Oreochromis niloticus: one gene and its partners. Each later gene encodes a partner of the first gene's protein in a complex. Links are inferred from orthologs where the notes say so. Each region holds a gene or a part of one and is shown on either strand. Other genes may lie near its edges.

Evidence for each region. Proteins that work in one complex are often made in the same cells at the same time.
Region 2: cullin-1 (region 1) and fbxo10 share a complex: the UniProt entries of both Homo sapiens proteins name them as parts of the SCF(FBXO10) complex. The link is inferred for Oreochromis niloticus from reciprocal best matches to the Homo sapiens genes CUL1 and FBXO10.
Region 3: the proteins of cullin-1 (region 1) and fbxl17 are in contact, whole or in part, in a cryo-EM structure (PDB 8UBT), measured with the Homo sapiens proteins. The link is inferred for Oreochromis niloticus from reciprocal best matches to the Homo sapiens genes CUL1 and FBXL17. Residues at the interface, in NP_001357589.1 of Homo sapiens: Thr54, His143, Arg147, Asp150, Glu151; in NP_001156787.2 of Homo sapiens: Pro325, Ser327, Leu330, Asp358, Phe359, Gln360, Asn387.

Annotation. Positions count from the first base shown.
Region 1 is NC_031974.2:2,231,110-2,238,415, reverse strand, and holds the start of cullin-1, read right to left. Parts: upstream 3,003-7,306; 5' UTR 2,816-3,002; intron 1-2,815. UniProt on the Homo sapiens protein: Core component of multiple cullin-RING-based SCF (SKP1-CUL1-F-box protein) E3 ubiquitin-protein ligase complexes, which mediate the ubiquitination of proteins involved in cell cycle progression, signal transduction and transcription.
Region 2 is NC_031971.2:22,576,803-22,584,585, forward strand, and holds the start of fbxo10 (F-box only protein 10), read right to left. Parts: upstream 3,015-7,783; 5' UTR 2,711-3,014; intron 2,372-2,710; 5' UTR 2,327-2,371; coding exon 1,742-2,326; intron 1,607-1,741; coding exon 782-1,606; intron 603-781; coding exon 453-602; intron 148-452; coding exon 11-147; intron 1-10. UniProt on the Homo sapiens protein: Substrate-recognition component of the SCF (SKP1-CUL1-F-box protein)-type E3 ubiquitin ligase complex. Mediates the ubiquitination and degradation of BCL2, an antiapoptotic protein, thereby playing a role in apoptosis by controlling the stability of BCL2.
Region 3 is NC_031977.2:23,971,795-23,979,736, forward strand, and holds the start of fbxl17 (F-box/LRR-repeat protein 17), read right to left. Parts: upstream 3,015-7,942; 5' UTR 2,796-3,014; intron 1,043-2,795; 5' UTR 1,023-1,042; coding exon 546-1,022; intron 134-545; coding exon 1-133. Other genes in the region: prxl2c (thioredoxin-like protein AAED1), read left to right, coding at 4,618-4,800, 5,115-5,183, 5,350-5,403, 6,484-6,589, 6,679-6,813, 6,979-7,109. UniProt on the Homo sapiens protein: Substrate-recognition component of the SCF(FBXL17) E3 ubiquitin ligase complex, a key component of a quality control pathway required to ensure functional dimerization of BTB domain-containing proteins (dimerization quality control, DQC).

The DNA.
Region 1 (7,306 bases):
AAAACACTTTTCTTCATGTTCATGCTTGCTGATCAGGTAACACCTGCTGTAAAGGTTTAGATTGTGATCAGTTTCAAGTCAAACCTTGTTCTTTAATGTACGTCTGCGTTAACTTAACCCTTCTGAAACCCCGGTTTACAGTTCATGCAGATCTACATTCAGTCACAAATGTGAAACAAACTCTTCGCCTTTTCGCTGTATTTTTCACGACTCTAATAAACGTTTCCTCATTTCAGTACCTCAAACACTTCATTTAATGGTAAAACCGGTTGATACCAGCATGAAAAGCAAATCAAGCAAAGGTTTGATTCACAGGTGAACTCAACTGCAAGGAGCCGGCCAATCAGTGTGCTCGACGTACTTTTTAAACTCAGGCCATCAAGTTCTGTTGAACCTGCACGTGCTGAACAAAAGTGTAGAAACAAGATGACGTGAACCATCAGACACGCATTTCAGCTTTCAGCTTTTACATTTGAGCAAAAGGGCCAGTAAAAACAGCAGGACAGTAACAGGTTCAACAAAGGTGTAAATATAACTGCTCTTTGGCATCTTTGTGTGTTTAGACTCTGAAGACGGTAAAACAGATGATGGTGAATACCTTTAATGTCTTTGGCCCACTATAATAAAAGCCTTTTGTCACCTGTTGGCCTTATAATCAGTTTTCTTTTTTAATAACAAATAGGTGACGCCTCACTTATGAGGACAAAAGTGTACATGAAAATCCAATAATTAACACTGTCCTTCAAAATAAAAGCCCTGATAAAGAAAACTAGCAGGCGTTAAACCCTGAGGAGAAACTTCTCTCTTTAAAACTCATCTGAACTGCAGCATTTTAAAACACTGTGGGAGAATCAGCTTTAAAATCAATATAAGGACAAACTCAAAGAAGGAGAAAGCACAGGTAATAAGGTGACTCTGATTACACAATTTTGAGCTGATTATTTCACAATTACATACTGCCGAAGATGCAGATTTATGCAACAAAGTTTAAAACTTGGACTTTACCATAATTTGAGTCTATTTCGACACCTAAAAACACATATTTAAACACTTCATGCCATTGTGGGGGGAAAAAAGTGCCCTACAGCGCTTCATTTAAACAGCAATGCCCTCACTTCTTTATGTTTTTCTCCCTGAGGAGCAAAACTTTCTGCTGGAATATTTCTCCAGCTTTCTGAAGGTCTGTCAAAGTTTTTCTTTGGACTTTAGCTGCTTTTTCACTCTGTTTCAGGCCAGTTTCAGAGGGAAAAAACTATCACTTTTTCTGATTTGTTTAGCTGAATATATTTAATAAAAATGCAGAAGACATTTCTTGCACTATTAGCCAAAGTCTTGGCATTTCTTGACATGTTGTACAGTGAGCCCTCAAAGAAAGAAAGAAAAATGTATCAATCCGAATTTAAAATTTCTGTTTGTCAATATGTACTGAGGTGAGGAGAGCAGCACACCAGTGAGTGTCTACAGCCACTGGGGGCCCTATCATGCTTCATCCAGTGGTGTATCAATGGTCAGAATTATAAACAGTGATGTTTAGATTATGAGTCACCATACAATACCATGGTTACTCATGAGAGCAATGAGCCCACACACACACTGTCCGTGTAGCAAAGACATATATGAATAGAAAACAGACAACTGACGACTGTCAGTTATGGATTCACCTCCACAGAGCCCCACAGCACTGAAGCACTGTGGGATCATGTTGACGGACCAGAACAAAAGACAAACATCCAAAGAAAAGCTTTGAATGTCTGAAGCCTGGAGGACTTTTTAAAGAGTGCTCAGATAACATGGCTCAAACTCCTTAGACTTGTAAAAACTCGGATTTTGCTTTATTTATATTTTAATTTTTTATAAATCGCTGCACATATTTCCCATTACTCCAGAAAAACACAAAGGAGTGAGGTGTAACTCAACTCAAGACTTTTGCTCTATATTGTCCTGTATACTGACAAATACTAGGACTCCATAAAAGGGAAGAAATAATAAGTGAACTAAAGTAAAGAGTTAGAATCCTGTGCAATAGTCATTGACTCTTAATATCTCGTTTTAACGATCAGGGTCTAAAATAAGTGCACTATTTAAATTAAGGAGAACTGTAAGGACGTATATCCAGGAATCTCGATTAGTATGAAAACAGACGTTTTCCAACAGCTGCTTCCCTCTGGCAGCTCAGTGTCAGCAGTACCTCTGACTTCGAGCTTCTCCTAATATCTTAGGAAATGAGCGACCGTATCGCTGCTCCGCTTCACCAGTTGTTCCAGGAGTGTGTCCTGTTCGAATGACCAGACCGCACCGCACCACACGGTTCACAGGGATGTGCTCGAAAAAAGCCTACCCCCGACGGATACTTGGACATATTTGGAATATAATGATCCCCAGTATCTGTTAATTTGGAAAATATTCACTGTGATTATTCCCCGGAATGGAGTCAGGCGCTGCTACGCAATACTGCTAGCTCCCATTAGCCTCTGAGGCTCGATTAGCCTGGTAGCTCCGTCTGCTGCCCGAACGCTGGATGGACCAGCTTCAAATCAAAGCACAGCCTCTATGTGACCCACATTTATCAATCGCTTACACACATGTGTGGTACTGGGACTGTATTCAACATAAAGGCTGTCTTCTTACAGTCAAAGGCAGAGGCCAGGACAGACTAACAGCCTGGTGTAAAATGGCAGCCTAGCTCCTCGAGCTTCTCAATAATGAGTCAGGAAAACAGTTCGCTAACCGCCTAGCATTAGCGTGCTGGCTCTCCGCTTAACAGGCTGAGAGAAAAAAAAATCTTCCCCGGCCCAGCTCTAAAATGTCACCTTACCATTTTAAAGCAGTCCCAGTCACTTTGTAATCGCCGGATGAGTTGTTTTCAGGCCAAAAATCGGTGTCCCGCTGCCGTCTCTGAGTGTGTTTGCTGTCGGTGGCTAACTACGACTGCTGCGCTGCTTCGTTCGCACAAAGATCAGCTCACAGCGCCGCGGCCACTGACTGCAGTTGCCTTCAGGCTCCCTCGGAAATACGCACAGCACCGCCGACACACGCATGCACTCTTTATTATTAAAGAATAGGAGGGCTACAAAATACGGACGTTTGTTTCTGCCACTGAAAAAAAAACATACCAGACAGAGGTGAGACAAAATTTAAACCAACTGCCTCAAAGTTGAACTTTTAAAATAATGACTTACATTTTTGACTTAACTCTGCCTGGCATTTTTTTCTGTAACTGAAAAAATACTTCATAAATAACATTGTGAAAATAATATTGGAAGTTTTTTCTTTCTTTCAAGTTTTCCATTCGGAGAAACAAGTCCAGAATATTCCAAAATGAAGTGAAAATACTATTCCAGATGAAATACTAATAATACAGTCTAAATAAAATCCAAATACTGACAGTAAAGTTGAAATGCTTATGATTTACCCCCTGATTATTTGGATAGATGTGTATCAGTGGTTTTGTATGCAATACTAGTTAAATTGTGAAATACTTCTCTGTATCTGCAGTTACAACATCTGGAGTTCCACAAGGATCTATGTTGGGGGACTGTTTTGTTGTTGTTGTTGTTGTTTTTGCTTTTAACATTCATCCTTCCTGTCAGTAAGCCTGGTGAACTCAGACCCAGGACCCTCTTGCTGCAAGGCAACGCTGCTAACTACTTTTAACCAATTTTAAATTTGACAAACAAATAGGTGCTGAGGTTGAGAACACTTTGTTCTAACGCTAACATTCCCCAAACATGTGGGGAAAACATGCCTGTTACAGGCTGAACACCTGTTTTGTCAAACATTTACCACCTGCTGATCTCTGAAACTGTCGCTCATGGACAGTTTGTTGTTGTGTGTTTTTTAATGCAAGTAGTGTGACTATGTGTTACAGGTGGGGGGATCGATCCAGATATTGATAGTATCAATACCATACTGGTACTGGTATTGGATCCATACTTTGTTTCTGTCCTGTAAGGTCAGCATGTAGCGCACTGAATTGTGTTCATTTGTGTTAAATAAATCAGTATTGGTATCAGCAATACTGGCCCTGTATTTATTTGGTATCATATCAATACCAAAATTTGCAGCATATCCCAGCACTACCATGTGTAGACAGAACCTGAGAAACATTCTGTTTTTCTCTCTCTAATATAAAGTGCATTAATTTAAATTTATTATGTAAATAATATTAACTTACTTACTAAGAATAAACTCAAGCTATAATTATGAGACTCAGATTTGCAAAAGAACAAACAAAGAATAAAACCTAAACTATTCACCAGGCCGGTGTATTTCAGGCGCTAATGGAGATATCTTTAGCTTACTTTGTAAAACCCATAACAATAAAAACACAGAACAGAGGTCAATCGCAGGTCAGGTCTTTTTCAACAATATCAGAGATTACAAATCGTTTATGAAAGACCCTTTGTTGATTTTATTTAATACTCTTGTTAATTTATTAATTTAATTCATTCATAAAGCTACACAAAAATTACACAAAATTACATAACTGAATATGCATTGTTTAAATTTAATGAAAAACCCAATTTCCATGTTTTGAGAACCAAAACTTGTGCTCAGACTTTGTGTTTACAGTCTATTAATGGTACTTATTGTAAATAACTGTGTTTAATGTAAAGAAACAACTGATTTTAGTTTGTGCTGAACTTCAGTAGAGCTAAGCCTGTAGTTATGATCATTAACAGTTAGAGCCCCTCCTCATCATTTTCTTCCTCTTCTTTGGTGCAACCCTATAAATACAGTGTACCCCTTTGGCCTCTCCCCTTTCCTACGATTCCCCTGTGGGAGAAGTTGGTGTCCTTTCTTTTCCAACACTGTACAACACACATATACAGTATATTTAGCCACCCTGATGTTTCTGATTATGTTTTTAGTTCAATTATTGTCATCACAGCTGTGGTGGGTTGAGCTAACCCTCTTCCCAGGAGCTGGAGCGGGCAAGTTAATGACTTTGAGGTCTTTGTTTCTTTTTACCTTTCATTGTCAGACACAACATAACATACCTTCACACCGTGTACATTGTAACATACCTGTAATAGATCCATATTTGGTAATATATCTATATTATTGCCAAAGCACTTTCTGGATGGATGCAAACTGCATTTCGTTGCCTGGTACTGGTAACATGTGCAATGACAATAAAGTTGAATTCTAATTCTAACAACGCAGGAACACACCGGTCACATATACATGTGATTTTACAGTATGTTTTGGGGTTTTTAAAACCTTTTTTGCATGCATGTTTGATTTATATTACTGTTCCCACAGCTTGGTTAAGCTTAACATTGAGTCTTTTTTCAAATTAAACATTAATCTGTGCTCTACAGCAGAAAACAGGGTAAAGACAGCAGAACTGCGAGTGCTACATGTACGATACTTTATTTGCAGTTTTTGGAAATGCGCTTGTTCAGCATGTGGCTCAAATATAACAAAGATCCAAACCCTAAATGACTTTAATTTAAATGATTTCAAACATGCATGTGTAGGCTTATCATTCAAATCTGATAAAAAACAGTTTGAAACACTGGTGTTTTTATCCAAAAATCAAATTTTCAAAGATTTTATTGATTTAAAGTTAATATTCTTTGTCTTGTCTTTATATAATAGTTTTTACTTTAATTACATTCCTTATATTTTGTCATTAAAATAACCAGAAATTAGAATTTTTTAATACTGGAAAAACAAACACAAAGAAACAAAAACATTCTAACACTGAAATGTCTGAGCTTCCCTGGATCCCCTGAATGCTACACCTGCTCCACAAAGTGGCCTCCCTATAAGGACTACAATCATGGCCTCACAGCTGCTTCCCTACAGCTGTCACGCATGCGCAAAGGTGGGTTTTAGTTGCCATATGACACATTTCAATTATGCATGCGTGATACAGAAGCACGATGCTGACATTTAGCTTCCTGGCCTTTAATGTGTGTATGTGAAGGTTATGCAAAGAATTCAAATGGCTCCTTTGACTTGCATTTGACTCATTCTAATGAAACATTACAAAAATAACCACAGTCCTCAGGTTCACTGTGTCTGTGCTTCTCACTGTGCTGTGATCGTTCTACATGAAGGTGTTTTGCTACAGGAATCTGAATGCTCTCCAGTCACCTTTCCTCTTTGTGCAGTGTGATGGTCAATCATCACCGTCTACCCACCCTGTGCACCGCCACAGCCTCTGAAACAGGCAGAACACGACCTCTGCTGGCATGGGAGGAAACACAAGCTTGGATTCTAGCAAGGAAGCATCCTCATCAAAGTCAAAGGGAAGGTGAATCCTCCCCGACGATCTCCGCTGCTGCTCCTGCTTCACTTTATCAGTAAATCCTGAGACCCAGGAGGTAAATTAAAGCTTCAGGTGTCACTGATTCTTTACATGTGTGCATAGATGTATAAAGTTTTACAAAATCTAAAGAAACAATCTCCCTCTCACCTCCAGGTGGTGTTGTGTGTGTCTTCTCCAAGCTTGTATCAACTACCACCTGACAATTTGAGCTTTTCATGTTTCCATAGCAGCCGGATGTTGGAGATTTCTAGTGCAGCTGGGCTGCAGGTAACTGTAACTGTTAGTTTATAAAAGATTTAAAATATTCTAAATAGAAATAATCACTGGCCAGATTCAGCAACCAGGGGCTCCAGCCCAGACCGCTGCCTGATCCACAAAGCACCAAACCCCTACGACCCCTCCTGTGGGTGGAAATCAGAAATCCGGACATGCCTCAAACACCTCGTAGGTGAGGCATTCCCGGTCTTACCTCTGAAACGTCATTGAAGGCAGTTTCAGAGTCGTGGAATAACACCGGAAAACTTTGCGATCTTCATCTTGAAGATGAGTTTTTCCAAATGTCAAAGAGCACGAGCGCTGCTTTCCACACTGAGCTGTGATGCCTCAGACAGAAACCAACTGCTTTAACATTTATTGTAAATATTAAGTGAACATTTTTATTGTTATTGCGTCACAACTTATGACTGACTCTCCTCTCTGCTGCGGGTGGCCACAGCCCGTTTATGTCAGTCCTGCTCTGCTGTCTTTGAATTATGTAAGAATGGAGAGTGGCGTGATGTGTTCACAGGCCACACCTCACAGTCGGTCAGAAGTGAAACGACTTTCATAATTAAGAAGTGTTACGTGAAGTCTGTTTGTTGCAGCAAACATTTTTATTTCCGGTGTTTGCAGCTTGAACACACGGACTCAGTCTGTTGGACACAGCTGCAGATTTAATGAAAACTACAAATAAAATAAAAACAAAGGTAAAGAAAATACAACAGAATCCTGCATAGAAAAGTGAATCTAACCAAACACATTCAACAG
Region 2 (7,783 bases), on another chromosome or scaffold:
TCCAACCTACCTTACCACGGGATTTCCACTGAAGAGAATATATACCCCAGCTTCTTTGTTGTTGTAAATCTGATTGCTTCGAATTGAACCTTTTCCATTGCCAAGGACAACAACCCCAGAGCGCAAACCACTGTGTATTTTGTTGCACTGTGGATTAATAGTTGATAGTGGATAAAGAGACTGAGGAAATTAGTTTCATCTGGAAAGCCTGAATAGATCATTTCTGGAAATTATAAATATTCATACTCTGGTTCTTTTTGTTTTATGCACGCAAGAACATCTTAAGCTCTTAAGTTGAGTAAGTTAGAAGAGTAGTGAACAAAATTCTCCTTATCCATGATATCTGGGCATGCTGCTGAAAGGGTCTGGGACATGCTATCACAGGAAATTTTTTGTTGTTTGCTTGCATCTTTAAAAAGTTGGAATCCAATCAGCAATTGTGTTGCATTTACCACAATGGTTGGGTTAGCCCCCTTTCGGATATCCAGCCCTGCCTCCCCGTTCGAGTGGATGTTGTTTTCTGCTATGAGGCCCTGAGCAGAGAGGCGCAGAAACACGCCTGATGCACGACATTCGCAGACCTCGTTTCTCAGCATTACGATCTGAAGCAGGAGAGAGACAGAAAAGGAAGGTGATCAAGTAGCAGCTTGAATAGGACACTGATGTTAAATTACTAATGACCCGAGCTACTTTAACTTGATATGTTTCCCGAATACACACAATACACAATCACAGATTCATGCCATTTGTATGAAGCAAAGTTACTAGGAACATTATTAACTGTGGAGTTTTGGATGCAGCGCACGGCGTAGTTCAGCCCACGAAAAACATTCTCCTCCAGTCGAGCTTGTCCATAATTGGACAAATGTACACCGCCCTTCCCGTCCCTGAAGAGGCATCGTCTGAGGATGCAGCCAAGTGTCGATGCTGCCAACATGTGAGCCTCTGGGTCCCTGTCTAACTCCTGCTGTAGGGTGAGAGGGTCAGGGATCATGGATGGGGGATCGGGGGAAGAGGAAAGCGGAAGAGAGCCATCTGGCTGGGGGTTGAGCAAATGCGATAGGCCATGATGGTCACATGGGATTTTGTACTCCAGTGTAAAATGCTTTTTGGTGTTGTTGGCCCCCCCCTCGTCTCTGTTCTCCTCTCCCTCACTGCGCTCACCATCACTCCAGCCATCTTCAATCACTGTCCTCTGACATACCCCATCTACCCCTGTTCTCCTCTTCCAGTCATCTATGGTTATGCTCTCCTTTTTAACATTAGCACCTGGAGGTTGGTGTCCACCAGTGGAGGCAGCCGGATGTCCTTTGGGAGAACTATTATGCTCAGATAGGCCACATGATGGGAACGTCCTAGCCAGAGCTGCCAAATGTTTACAAGCCCAGTTCCTTTCTGAGACCGGGGGACCTTCCACAGTCACTGAAGCTGTGTCACTTCCTGAGAAGTCACAGCTGTCAAATAAACTCAGGACAACTCCCAGCAAGTGTGCAGAGCTGCCCTGGGAGAAAGAGCAAAACCGAGCCTGGCAGGTTCCTGGCCCGCGGACTTGCAGCTGAGCTCCCTCAAAGTTGCAGTTATCTAGTTGGACATGTCCCCAGGATGTCTAGAGGAGAGCAAGACAGAAAGAAACAAAGAACTATAATTAGATTCTATTTTCTCAAGAAATTTGTGTTTATAGGAGTGTATAGACTAGGCCAATCTGACTCTGAGACTCTTAGGAAACAAGCTGCTACTTCACCTTGTAGACAACCGTGGAGAACCAGGGTGGCATGAACACCAGATTACACAGCCTGGCAGTAGGGCACTGCTGCTCCATACACACTAAGAGGGCCACCTCGCCTAGTCGGCCTAACCCAACCAGCTCCACCGGTACTTTCAGCGCTACCTCAGCCTGCTCCTCATACACCCCTGGATGGAGCACCACTCGGTCGTAAGGTCCCACCACCCCAAGGGCTCCGCGCAGGGTCTCAAACTCACATCCCGGCCCCACGTGCCAAACCCTGCGATCTTTCCGACGGCGGAAGAAGAGGAGGCAAGCGGAGGACTGGAGCTCTGGACCATTTTGAGTCCAGGTGCGGGTGGCAAGGGCATGCTGTTTCAGGGCCTCTCTCCACGAAGGGGGCTCCAGATGAGGTTGACTAGGCCAGTTGGGATGTCGGCACTCAGGGCAGCCCAGGCAGAGCTGTCTCCAGCGGGTGTTATCCAGAGAGAGGATGAGCTCCCGCCAGGCACGGCACACCTGGCAGCAGCGGCCCAGGTCAGGGAGAGGGAGATAGGCTAAGATAACCCTCCACAGCTCCACGGGGAGGCTGCCCACCTCCATGGCAGCAGAGACGCCGGCTGGTTAGCACCGCGATGGGCGGGATACCTAGAGACAGACACACATGCACGCGCATTTCAGGCAACAGGAAGCGCAAACCGTTACACAACAATTATGAAGACGCACAATATTACACAACAGGATATTCAAGTGCGTTTTGTTTTTAATATTCGCACATCAACACCAAATGGCGCCACGACCAGCGTTAATTTTAGCCGAAAAACAAAATACAGCGAAAACTAGATATGAATTATATAACCTTACTGTTCATTTTGCGTATCGGTAAACGATATCTCCACTAAGGGCCTGCAATATTGCCCTGAAAGTTTGCTGCAGTTAAACGCGGTTAGCTAGCGGCGTAACTAACGCTAGCCAAAACGTCCTTACCTTTTACCAGTTTGCCATAGTCAACACATGTCGGCTCGACGTTTAGACAAGCCATCCATCCGGCGTCGCATGCCTGCGACACTGACTTTGTCTTCGCATTCTTCGGGAGTTTACAGTTATCATAATTACTGCAGATGTACCATCGAAATAAATGGAGTTCAGACGGTTGCTTACAGTTTACAGCAAGAAACCCAAGATCCCCATCTTCCGCTTCCCAAAAGTGGGCGTTTACTTCAGTTTCCCCTTGGTGCATCCGAGGGGAAGCTGAAGTATAGGGAAGAATGTTGTTAACTAGTTAGACCCCAAATTCAGAGCCGGTCCAAGGTTCTATGGTGCCTTAAGTGGAATTTAATTTGGTGCCCCCCGCTAATCCCACCTCAGCACCCCAATATTAACTATATATTATCAATTAAAAAAAAAAAAATTAAAAAAATAAATAAATCTATGTACATCCTACATTTACCAGAACTATTATCATGACTTTCTAGTGTACTGGAGAGAAATAAAAAAAAAAACAGTACCTGACAGTGTATTTTTTTAAACATACTAACTGTTTAATTGTTGTTGAAATGTGTAAAATGACAGAACAATCATAAGGAATTTAACATAGGCCTAAATATTATCATTTTTATACAACGATGCAAGTTTTAAAACAGAACAAATTAAACAGAAAGCTAGCAGTAGGTTACCAACCATAATGCCTGTGGTTTCCATTGCCTAAACTCAACACACCTTTAGCCAATTTTGTTACAGTAAAATAAATAGTGAAGTAAATGTGAGACTAAATGCGCTTTTCTTTTCTAAAACAGTAAAGTCAGCATTTATTAAGTTATCATTTTACTTTGTTTGAGTCTGGAATCTGGAGTTTTGGTCACTCTGAACTTGCATGGCTTCTCTGTTTATATTACATTTGCACACTGAGTGGAAAAAAACTGAACTGTTAACAAATAGGTCATCTCTAATTAATGGATGTTTTTCTGGTAGCTTCTGGCTGCATAGAATGTGAGTAACGGGTTAGCATGAGGATGAAAGGACTTAATACAGTAAGTACATTATCTATTTCCACTCAAAAGTAGAAAAACCTTTCATTTTGTCTTTCTGAATGCATAGGCAGTTTCTATTAAAATAGGTTAAAATAGACTATCACAATACACAGCCAAAATAACAGTGAAACACTCCATTGTCAATATCAAAATCCAGTGCCAATGCTAAGGCAAAGAGGCCTGCAGCTCTGCCACAAAAGCAGCACTTTCCTTCCCACAGCAGTGCGTTTTTTTGCTGATGAATGTACCCTTCAAAATCCATTCTCTCCTAATTTAACAGTCCTTCGCAGCTGTTAGAATAAGTATTAGCATGGAAAAAAACGGAAGTTCATTATATTAATGTAAAAGATCACATCCTGAAGAGGTGAGAGTCCTGCTGATTTCTTGTCTGCACAATCACATGGATTGCCCTACCCCATCTAGCCAGCAGATGTCACTGTTGAAACATTTTGATCAGAACCTCAGCAGTGAATACTTAAAAACAAATAGATAATTTATTTAATAAATTATTCTGACATGTGGTAAATATTAATTTCAGTCAGTTACTCAGTGTTGACATTTAATATTGCTCTTGTCTTTAGAAAGATAACCACTTTTAACGCCCTTTCATCTGCCACCAATCTGTTACATCATTTACTGTCTTTCATTTCATACCTCTAAATCAATGATGTGGTTCTTATGTATACCTCAGAATCTCTTGCAAATCTCTTCACCTTTGTAAGCTATTTAATTCAGCTTCTTAGCGTGATGGCTCTAGTCAAACTGCAAAGCATTCAGGACTCAGGGGCTTTTATTGTGAAAGGTAAGGACATGAGCACATGGCAGAACGGATCGTGTTTCTCGGGTCTGCTTTGGCCCACTTATCAACCAATCAGCGTTCAGCCTATGCCAAACTATGCGTTGTTGGATTTCAAGAGAACGGCACGGGAGCACGCGTGTGTAAGCCGAATACCCGTCTCCATGGGGTCTACATACATATGGAAACGGACAAAACTGCGGTATCATAAAATAACCCTGAAAGAGAAAACGTGACTTCACTGCACACCTGCGGGGACCGGTTGCTATGACGACTAAAGCCACTGAGAGGAGTGTTAGGAAGGCAGACGTGAAGGTTTCAAAGAAAAGCTTATCAAGTGAAAAGTACAAGTCGTATTAAATAATTGTTTCAGCCTGACTGGCAGCAACTTTCCTACTACAAAATATGAATTTTTCACATCCATAGTTGAATTCAGTTTTATTTATACAGCGCCAAATCACAACAGGTCCCTCAAGGCGCTTTATATTGTAAGGCAGACCCTACAATCATATGACTCCCTATGAGCAAGCACTTCCCACTGGTGACAGTGGGAAGGAAAAACTCCCTTTTAACAGGAAGAAGCCTTCAGCAGAACCAGGCTTAGGGAGGGTCAGCCATCTGCTGCAACCGGTTGGGGTGAGAGAAGGAAGACAGGTTAAAAGACATACTGTGGAAGAGAACCAGAGATTAATAACAAGTATGATTTAATGCAGAGAGGTCTATTAACAAATAGTAATTGAGAAAGATGACTGAAGAAGAAATACTCAATGTATTGTAGGAATCCCCCAGCAGCCTATACCTACTGCAGCATGACTAAGGGAGGATTCAGGGTCGCCTGATCCAAAAGACTGAGCATTGTGCAAAAATTCCTCACCAGCACGTCATTCTGAGCATCAAACCATGCATAGAAGTTGCTAAGTGCATCTGGTAGGGAGGCGTCACCATTACAGCCAGGTGTCTTCTTCCTGTAGTTGATGATGGCCTTGATGGCCTGCTACATGTGCCGCGTGTTGCGGCTGTCTGGGAAGTGGCCATGGATTCTTCTGCCATGTGCTCGCTTCGCTGAACTGATGACTCCAGACAGTTTGGCCCTTGCTATTCCCAGGGCCGCCTTGTCGCTGGCTCTGAAGGAGTCTTGTGTTTTTAGCAGCTCACACACTTCTGAAGTCATCCACAGTTTCTGGTTAAGGCGTGTAATCTTGGATATCATCGATGCACTTGCTGATGTAACTGGTCACAGATGATGTGTACTACTCCAAGTTGGTGTAGTCATCATTTGTTGCTGCCTCCCTGAACATATCCCAGTCTGTGTGCTCAAAATAGTCCCGAAGAGCAGAGATTGCTCCTGCAGGCCAGGTTCTCACCTGTCTCAGAACCAGTTTGCAGTGTCTGACGAGCGTTCTGTATCCTGGAATTAGCATAACAGACAAGTGGTCTGAGTATCCGAGCTGGAGGTGGGGCTTTGCTCGGTACACTCTGGGAATGTTTGTGTAAAGAAGATCCAGCGCATTTTCCCCCCTCGTCACAAATTTCAAATGTGGATGGAGGTCCACGTGTTCTATGGAAGCTGGTTCCATAAAAAATGGGCCGGAAAACCGAAGGCTCTGCCTACCTTTCTACTTTTAAATACTCTGGGAACAACAAGTAAGCCTGCAGCGCAAGAGCGAGGTGTTCTAATGGGGTGATATGGTACTATAAGGTCATTAAGATAAGATGGAGCCTGATTATTCAAGACCTTGTATGTGTGGATTTTGAATTCAATTCTGGATTTAACAGGGAGCCAATGAAATGAAGTCAATATAGGAGAAATATGATCTCTCTTTCTAGTCCCTGTCAGTACTCTTGCTGCAGCATTTTAGATCAACTGAAGACTTTTCAGGTAGTTTTAGGACATCCTGATAATAATGAATAACAGGAGTTTAGCCTAGAAGTAATAAATGCATGAACTACTTTTTCAGCGTTGCTCTGAGACAGAATATTTTGAATTTTAGAGATGTTGCGCAAATGAACGAAGTCAGTCCTACATATTTGTTTAATATGTGCATTAAAGGACATATCCTGGTCAAAAATGACTCCAAAGTCCCTCACGGTGTTACTGGATGCCAAGGTAATGCCATCTAGAGTAAGTATCTGGTTAGATACTATATTTCTAAGATTTTCAGGGCTGAGCACAATAACTTCAGTTTTTTCTGAATTCAATAGCAGAAAATCACATCCATGTAAGTGGACATGGTCATACCATGAAGTCACCCCACGCTTCTTATTGTCTGTACAAGTGTGTGTGTGTGTGTGTAGTATGTGCCATATTTTGTAAGATAAGATGGAGCCAGTAAGCAGTTTTTCTGCTTAATTTTCCATCTTCATTTAATTATCTTATTAAATTATTGTATGTTAAAAGATTGATTGATTATACTTTATTCATCCCGAGGGAAATTGGATTAAGGCTGCCAGCCGTGCCAGCGCCGTCTTACCCATCCGACCATACATACATTACACAAACATCACATGGGGAAGACAGGTCAGAGGGGTATAGCATGGAAAAGCACAACATGAGGAAAGATAAGGAGAAAAAAATAACTCCCCCCAGACTGAGCTCCAACAGGGAGATCAGTTTGAGAACAGAAAAAAACACCTCTGCACATAGCACATGAAAAAAACTCTTAATACACCAAAGAAACACATGACAAGCAACAGGGATGGGTAAAGGGTGAGAGACAGCCAATGTAGACAGTACATCCGGGCCTGCAGCCTATGCGCTGGTCTCCATGATCCACCGTCAGCATTGGAAGCGTCGAAGGCGTTTGGAAGGGGAGGGGGGATGAGTGTATATCTGCATGTGTATATGTCTGTGTGCGTGTGTGTGTGTATGTCCAGAGTTCAGCTGAGACAGTGTCCTTCGCCCTGCCGGGCTAAGTAAATAGTCTTCCAGCCAACCCAGGTGGCCTTGCATAGAAAGGGAAGAACAGTCTAAACACAGTCTGTAATCAGGGTGTTGTTGTACAGCTCCAGTCTTGAGACCACAGCTGGCGCCGAAGGGGTCTCCGCATGAAATGATGATGGTTTTTACTTTAGTGCGAACAACTCATAAGAATTTCAAAGCTGTTCTAACAGTCCAACACTGGTCTCTCAATCTCCCGTTGGAGAGCCGTGAGCTTTCTATGATGTTATCCAAACTTAAGTTCCGTGGTATTGTCATTCTTGTGGTCAAAGAGCCGATTCTGAGAACTCATGACC
Region 3 (7,942 bases), on another chromosome or scaffold:
GGCCCGTTTCAGAGTTCGAGGCCGCCTCCCCCCCACCTCCATTCTCCAGCCCTCCATCAGGAGCAGCGAAGGCACAGCGCGGCTGCTTACAAGGGGTGCACCTTTGCACCTCTGAGCACTTCCTCTTACACACCTGCAATCGGACACACACACACACACACACACACACACAGAGGTCACTTGGTATCAGATTTTCAGGCAGATTTAGTTACAATTACAGACAGAAATTTATGAGAACAACACCCCTGAGTTTGGATCCTCAATAAGAACAAAATAAAAGAAGGACTAGAAAGAATACAGCTTTGACTTAAGAGATATTTAAGGACAAAGAAAAGTCAAAGTTTACCTTTCTAACTGCATAATATCATTTTTTAAGCAAGTTTAAAGCACCTATAAACATTTCTCATGTGTAATCTGTAGCTTATAGCCCTGTTACTAAAAACGTTGAGGCACTGTTAAATGTAAATAAATATCCAATACAGTTATTTGAAACTTATTAAAAGCCTATATTAATTAGGAATTAATGCTCCGAACCGGATGCCTACCATCTCTGTGTAATCGCTGGTGCAGCCAGGCACAGGCACAGGTATGGGCACAGTCACAGACACACCAGCGGTACGGAAGAGGGCCGGTGGTGGAATTAGTTTGGCAGGAACAGCTGACAAAAGGCTCCTCCCCTGGCCCTCCCAGATAGCAAGTTCCCTCGGTGACAACAAGAACTTGGAGCAATCCTCCGGAGATGCGAGAGTTGCGTATCGCTCCGCAAGCTTCGTGGCAGCTGCCGCTCCGATGCCGACTCCGCCAACACCTGGGACGCTGATTCCCGTGATGCTGTTGTGTCGACACCCGTTGGCCTCGAAGTGGTCGCTCTCGTCGTCGAAACCACCGCTGTTGCCGTGGACGATAAAGCAGAGCATGCAGGGCCCGTGCAGAAAACAGTTCCTCTTCTTCTTCTTCCTGTGATGCAACTTGCGTGTCCTCTTCTTCAGGCGATAACCATTTTTCGAAAAAAGATGGCCCATATAGATGATTCAAGGAAACTCTGGAACAACAGAAAAAAATGATTGGAAATATATATATTATATGTTTCAGCACTAACAGGAGGCCGAGCTGAAGGTGACAGAGTGGAAGATGCTCAGATTTTCATTGGCAGTGACCAGGATGAACAAGATTACAAATCAGCATATCAGAAGGTCAGCTCAAGGCAAGCAGTTTGGAGGCAAAGTTAGAGAAGCAAGGCTGAGATGGTTTGGACATGTGCAGCACAGGGTTAGTGGATATAATGGACAAAAGATGTTAAATATGGAGCTGCCAGGCAGGAGGAAAAGAGAAAGACCTCAGAGGAGGTTGATGGGTGTCGTGAACAAGGCTGTTGTGAGAGCGAAGGATGCTAGTTTATTATGATATGAAAATTCTATGAAAGTTGAGTGTTAAGACTTGGCGTCAAAAAATACACAATGCAGAAAAAAACTATTCAATGAAAAAAGAACTTGATAGTTTCCATCCTCAGTACTACGAATTTATTGTAGTCATTACATAAAAATAGCTTAGGCTAATTATTTAGCCCCTGTATAATTAAGAGAACAAAAGATATCCTTTCTTTTCCTTAAAATGACTATTCAAAACATTGCTGTACATATAATACTTTTAATACAATTTTATGAGTAAAGATGTATCTCATCAATTTACAGAAAATGTCTTTTTGCTAACAATGTTTTGCCCCGCATAAATAAAATAATATGGGAAAATTGCAGGATCACTAACAGCTATCATTATCATTATCTCCTTTTTTAATGAGGCTTTTTTCGTGCTTTATTAAGCCTGTCATTTTATTAGCTTCTTTAATGTTCCTCTTTTCCCTAAAGGCAAAGTCAACATGAACCTTTAGTAGGAAAATCTAATGCCCATCCTTCAAAGCTGCAATGTTTTCAAGGCTGTTTTTCATAGCTGCAGTGAAAGAATGCTTAACAAAAGATGGGAACTTTACAAGATAACGCTAGAGTTGTCTGACACACACACGGGGTGGAGAGTGAGATTAACTTAATCTGGAAGTAAGGATGCATTTGTGATCATGGTGGGCTCGTGTAAATAACAGCACGTGAGCACAGATTTCCACACAAAAAGAAAAGAAAAATCTGAGCCTGATCCTGTATGTCAACAACAATCAGGACAGTCCTTTCTGCTGACACAGACATGACGATGGACAAGACTCACAGCAACCACATGTGTCATTAAACTCAGCACCGGAGAGCCCAACAACACAGTACTGCAATGAAATACTGATGTTATTTGTTAAAAACACTCACAATTTAAGAGTAAAGCCTAAATCTCAGCGCAGCACACAACAAAGAGCAGCAAGCTTTGCACCCGTGCTTCCCTACGATGGAAAAGATTCAGACGTGGACGCTGTGCATAATTTGAAAAATGTTTTGGGGGTTTGGGGTTGTTTCTGTTTTGTTTGGTTTTTAATGATCCATATTTGTTGAGGACGTGAAAAATCTCGTCGGATAACTGCAGCGGTGCAGCACCGGTTGGTGGCTGCTGAATCAAAACACAGAGATGTAAACAGTGAACAGGTGGTCATTTGTTTAGCATGTAGAAACGCCAAAGCAGACTTAACGTGACACCTGCGGTTTGCCTGGAATTGCCGCACATTTGTCTTCAACATTCACACGAACTTAACGTTGTTTTTGAGGGAAAGAAAGACGAGATTGCTTCGCAGTTTTCTGTCAGGCTAGCCTGCTCCATCCCCAGATGCTAAGTTAGCTATAGCCCCAAAAGCAATCATCTCTCACCACTTCACACGGTGCTCCCACACTCCGCACTGCGCTCGCATAATACTGCTAAGCTCCACGGTCAAGATGAACGGTGACGAGCCCCGACAGGAGAGACGCGGGCGCAGGAAAACCGGCCACTAAATCGCCGTTCTGCTCTTCCAAAACAGTAGCAGCTCTGGTTGTACCTCTGCTGCTGCTGCTGTTGCTCTTGAGGACAGCACTTCCGCACCGAGAGGGCAGCGGGAAGGAAGCCGACGAGGGCGATTCGTAATTCGCCATCAATGAAAATCCTGTTCCCAGGATTTGGGGGATAGAGAAGAACCAATCATGGGATTGATTTTTTGTTGTTGTTGTTGTTGTTTAATGATAAGTAAATACAGCCTTGAAAACTGACTTAGAAAACACAGGGTCAAAATATTAAGCTATTGTCTCCTAATGGGAATCATTTTGTATCGTGTTTAGATTATTTATTTAAACAAAAGTAGCAAACTTTTAATTTATTAACCATAGGAAAACTGGACAACCGCCCCAAAATAAGCTACTGACAGTGGTTGCTACAGAAAACACTACCTACCTTATAAATTTCTAGTCTTAACACCTTTACTCTTGCAGTTAATTTATTTACTGGTCTTCCTCTTCCCTGACAGCTACACATTTAGCACCTTTTGTCCACTACCGCTCCTCTTCAAATGTCCAAACCACCTCAGCCTTGCCTGTCTAAATCATCAAGCACTGGATATGAGCAGTCCCTCTGGTGCACTAATTTCTAATCCTGTCCATTCTGGTCACTCCCAAAAAATAATCAGATTTTATTCGTGAACATAATAGTTGATATTGTAAATGAAGTAGCTCCACCTGTAGGTTTGGTTGTACTGAAGCTGCCAAGTGTCTACACACGCTGCATATTATGCGAATTCAAAGAATGCATCCAACATAAAACAAGCATAAAATATAGACATACTGCCAAAATAAATCAAAGTTAATCAGAAGTTCATTTCATTTATTTAAATATTCATGTAACTCATTGTTTATATTCCAAACGTTTCATGCATTAAACACATCAAGTAGACCACCAAGCACTATTAGACTAAAGTATGAAATGTAAAACTTAAAAGTCACAAATAGGATAAAATCTACAGTTGTATGTAACTTAACTGGGTTTTCTGCAGCAACTACAGTATACTGCAGCCAACTTGGTCTTGCGCGGAGCTCAGAAAAAAAAAAACACTTTGGGGAGAGAGAATCAGGGCATAAAATTATAATTTATAAACATAACACAGAATGAGAGACTGTTAACGACAATATACATAGCACATGTAATTGTCTACAGTACCGAACTGTACAGTACGTCTACTGCATAAAATTAATATATATATAGAGAGAGAGAGAGAGAGAGATAATAATCTGGATGTACAGTTCAAACTGTCCTTCATTGTAAATTCCCATGGCAATGTTGTTCACTGAAATATGAGCTGAAATATATATAAATAAATGTTGCTAACTGTTATTGTGAAGTCACAGCGTGCGCACTGACGCACTGACGCACCGGTCAGTTTCTGTTTGTATTGCCTTGTTTATACACTAAATCCGGAGAGTAAGATAATATTAACCATTGGTTAAACATTGCAATGTTTAACCAATGGTTAACCAATGGTTAAACATTGCAATGTTTAACCAATGAATATGTGTTGGCCGTCTGTCTTCGTTCTCCTAGAGAGAGAGCGAGAGAGAGAGAGAGGGAGCATATGGGCGTGAATTTTCCAGGCACCAGCTCCTCCAGGCTGAATGGCAACTCCCAAAATAGCAGCACTGCGAATTCTGGATCCTCTGAGGAAAAAAAATGGCTGAAGTAGTTTCACCAATAACTCGACAAGTAACTAAAGGAAGCCAGGAAAATGTGACCTGTTTTGTGGATATTAATCTCAGAGACGTCGAAGACTGTTTAATTTACGACCGGCATGGAGTTTCTATTCCGTTCAAGACCCTATACCAAGACAGGAAATCGGTCATAATTTTTGTGCGGGTAGGGAAAACTTCATTTGGCTTAACTTTGCTGATGAGTTATGGGTTCGCATAAGCACCCTCCCTTAAGTTGCGCTTTTAAATGGGTCTTGATAGGCTTCAAAGTAGGTACCAGGTGAGCCCAGGTGTAGCTGGCCAGATGCTCCAAGAATTTCCTGTGCTATGTTGGAAATGGACGAATGAAGAGATCGTTCTCCATAGGTGAAGCCAGAGGGATACATGTTATATAGGCGCAAGATGTGAATTTTTAAATGCAGTGATCTCTCTCTCATCACTACAGCCTTTTAACATTTTATTTAATATGTGTCCCTGCAGAATTTCTTGTGCTACAGCTGTAAAGAGTATGTTGATGATTTGGGAAAAATACCCAGAGAAGTACTGGAGGTAAGTCTTGTTTAGTAAGGACCAGTGCACTCGAGGCTGTGAAAACAAAGAGCATAGCTGCGACACTGGCAGCAAAGGTGCTCGGTTAAAACAATAGGAGGTCTGATGAGTATTAACATAAATAATTGATCATGACAAATCCAAAATTCCGTGTGTGTTGTTGCAGGATGCTGAAATTAGACTGGTCGTGATCGGTCAGTCTGCTTATCATCACATAGAGGTAATTATTTTGTTATATATACACTCACTGGACACTTTGTTAGGACACCTGTTCAGCTGCTTGTTAAAGCAAATACCTGATCAGCCAACCACATGGCAGCAACTCAGTGCATTTATGCATGCAGACATGGTCAAAACAACTCGCTGAAGTTTTGAAGAAAGGTGATTTAATTGAGTCTGGTTTTGACATGTGGGCGCTCTATTGGAATTTTGCCACAGTGCTATCTCTAAGGTTTACAGAGAATGGTTGAAAAAAAAGGGGAAAATATCCAGTGAGCACCAGTTGTCTGTGTGAAAAGTAAGAGGAGAATGTCCAGACTGCTTCGAGCTGATAAGAAGGCACGAGTAACTGAAATAACCACTTGTTAGAACCAAAATATGCAAAAGACCACACCTAGAGCCACTCCTGTCAGCTAAGTACAGGAAACTGAGGCTGCAGTTTGCACAGGCTCACCAAAATTGGACAATAGAGGTCTGGAAAAATGCATTCTGGTCTCATGAGTCTCCAGTTCTGCTTCAACATTCAGATGATAGGATCTGAAGTAAAAAAAGAATGAAAGCGTGGATTGATTCTGAACTGTTCAGGCTGCTGGTGGTATAATGGTGGAGGGCATATTTTCTTGGTACACCTTGGGCCACTTGGAACCAATTGAGTGTGATTTAAACTCCACAACCTTCCCGAGTATTGATCCCGACCACGTCCATCCCTTTCTGACTACAGTATTTGCATCTTCTGATGGCTATTTCCAGCAGGATAACACATCAAATCATCAATAATCAAAACTAGTTCAAGGAAGAGAAAGAATTCACTATTCACTATATAAGAATTTCCACTACTACAATCCAGTAGAACGTCTTTGGCATAATGGATGTGCAGCCATCAAAGCTGCACCAACTGTGTGATGCTATCAGTTCAATATGAACCAAAATCTCTGTTGAATGTATGCCACAAAGAATTAAGGTCTAACTCAGTACTTGCGAGTGGTACCTATTACAGTGTCTGATGAGTGTATATAAATATCACAGCAGGCACTATAGTTTTCCAGACAAATGTACTCTTTCTCCTTGTTCTGTCATGTAGTCGTTCTGCTTGCTCACGGGGTATCCTTATGAAATATATGTGGACCCAGGGAGGCGCATTTACCAAAAGCTGGGGATGAAGAGAGAGGAGACATTCACAGACTCTGGTATGCAAAAACACTATTGGAGTGTATGAGTAAGCTTATTTTGAGATGATAATGAAACTTCGTCTTTGTATCTGTGTTTGTGAACTCAGCGCAGCCTAGTCCCCATGTGAAGTCTGGCATTTTTATGGGCCAAATCAAGACTATATGGAGAGCCATGACTAGTCCTGCATTTGATTTTCAGGGTGACCTACATCAACAAGGTGGAGCCATCATTGCAGGACCTGGTAAGTTGGTCTCGCTCTCTCTCTCTCTCCCTATACACACACACACACACACACACACACACACACACATATATATGTATATATATATATATGATGTTATGTGTTAATGTTGGCACTGCATTATATCTTTTTTCCTCACACTCACTGTTTTCTCCCTCTCTACAGGCTCTAAAGTTCATTTTTCCCATCTTGACATGAACCGCCTGGACCACATGCCCATTAACTGGCTCCTTCAGCTTGCAGGAGCTCAGCAAACGATTGACTTCAGCCATAAGCCGAAAATCATTCACATCTAGTTAGGTGCCTGCCTGAAAGTGTGTTTCATCCCACGTCACTGCTGTAATCACACATGGAGTCTATATACAATCAGCTCCAAACTCTAAGATGACTAAATGAGTTTCTGTTGCTTCTTTTTTTCATTTGAATTCAACTTGATTGACAAATAGTACATTACAATGACTTTATCAGCTTAACACACCCCTCTCTGCTCTTCCCTCAACTGTCTTGGCTTTAATAACATCACTCAAACTGAAAGTGCACGCGGCAAGTTTGTGCAGAAACCGATAAGGCATGTTTTCCTGGTACGATCTGAAAGTGTTCCAAACATCTTCTTGAGAAATCAGTGAATGCTTGGCCTTTGCAGTTAAATGTTCAGCATGGCTGAGGTCCAATGACTGTGGAGGAAAAAGTTGATGTCAGCCAGCACTCTTTATTCGTAGTCTTATATAGTTTTCAAGTAGTTCTTGCAAAACTTTGACAAATAAGACAACACGTCTAATTTGCTACAGACAAATTATGTTACAGACAGAAATCTCTCACTTGGATTCATCATTACATTGATTTTTTTCCCCAGTCGTCTACTGTTAAGTTACATTACTGTTGTGGATAGACAAATTGCAGCAAGAAGAGTTTTATCCGTAACAAATATTTCAGTCCCAGCATTCCCAAGTCTGTTATTTATTTCAAGGCTAGACATTGACCTGACCATATTGCCAAAAACTTGGGAGAGGTTAGAATCACTGGCCTTGCAAATAGTACAGTTTCATTAAAAAAATGCACTACTGGCATTGTCCAGTGTCTTCAATCACATGTCAAGAACTGATGATGGTTGTTCTTGATGCAGGAGGAT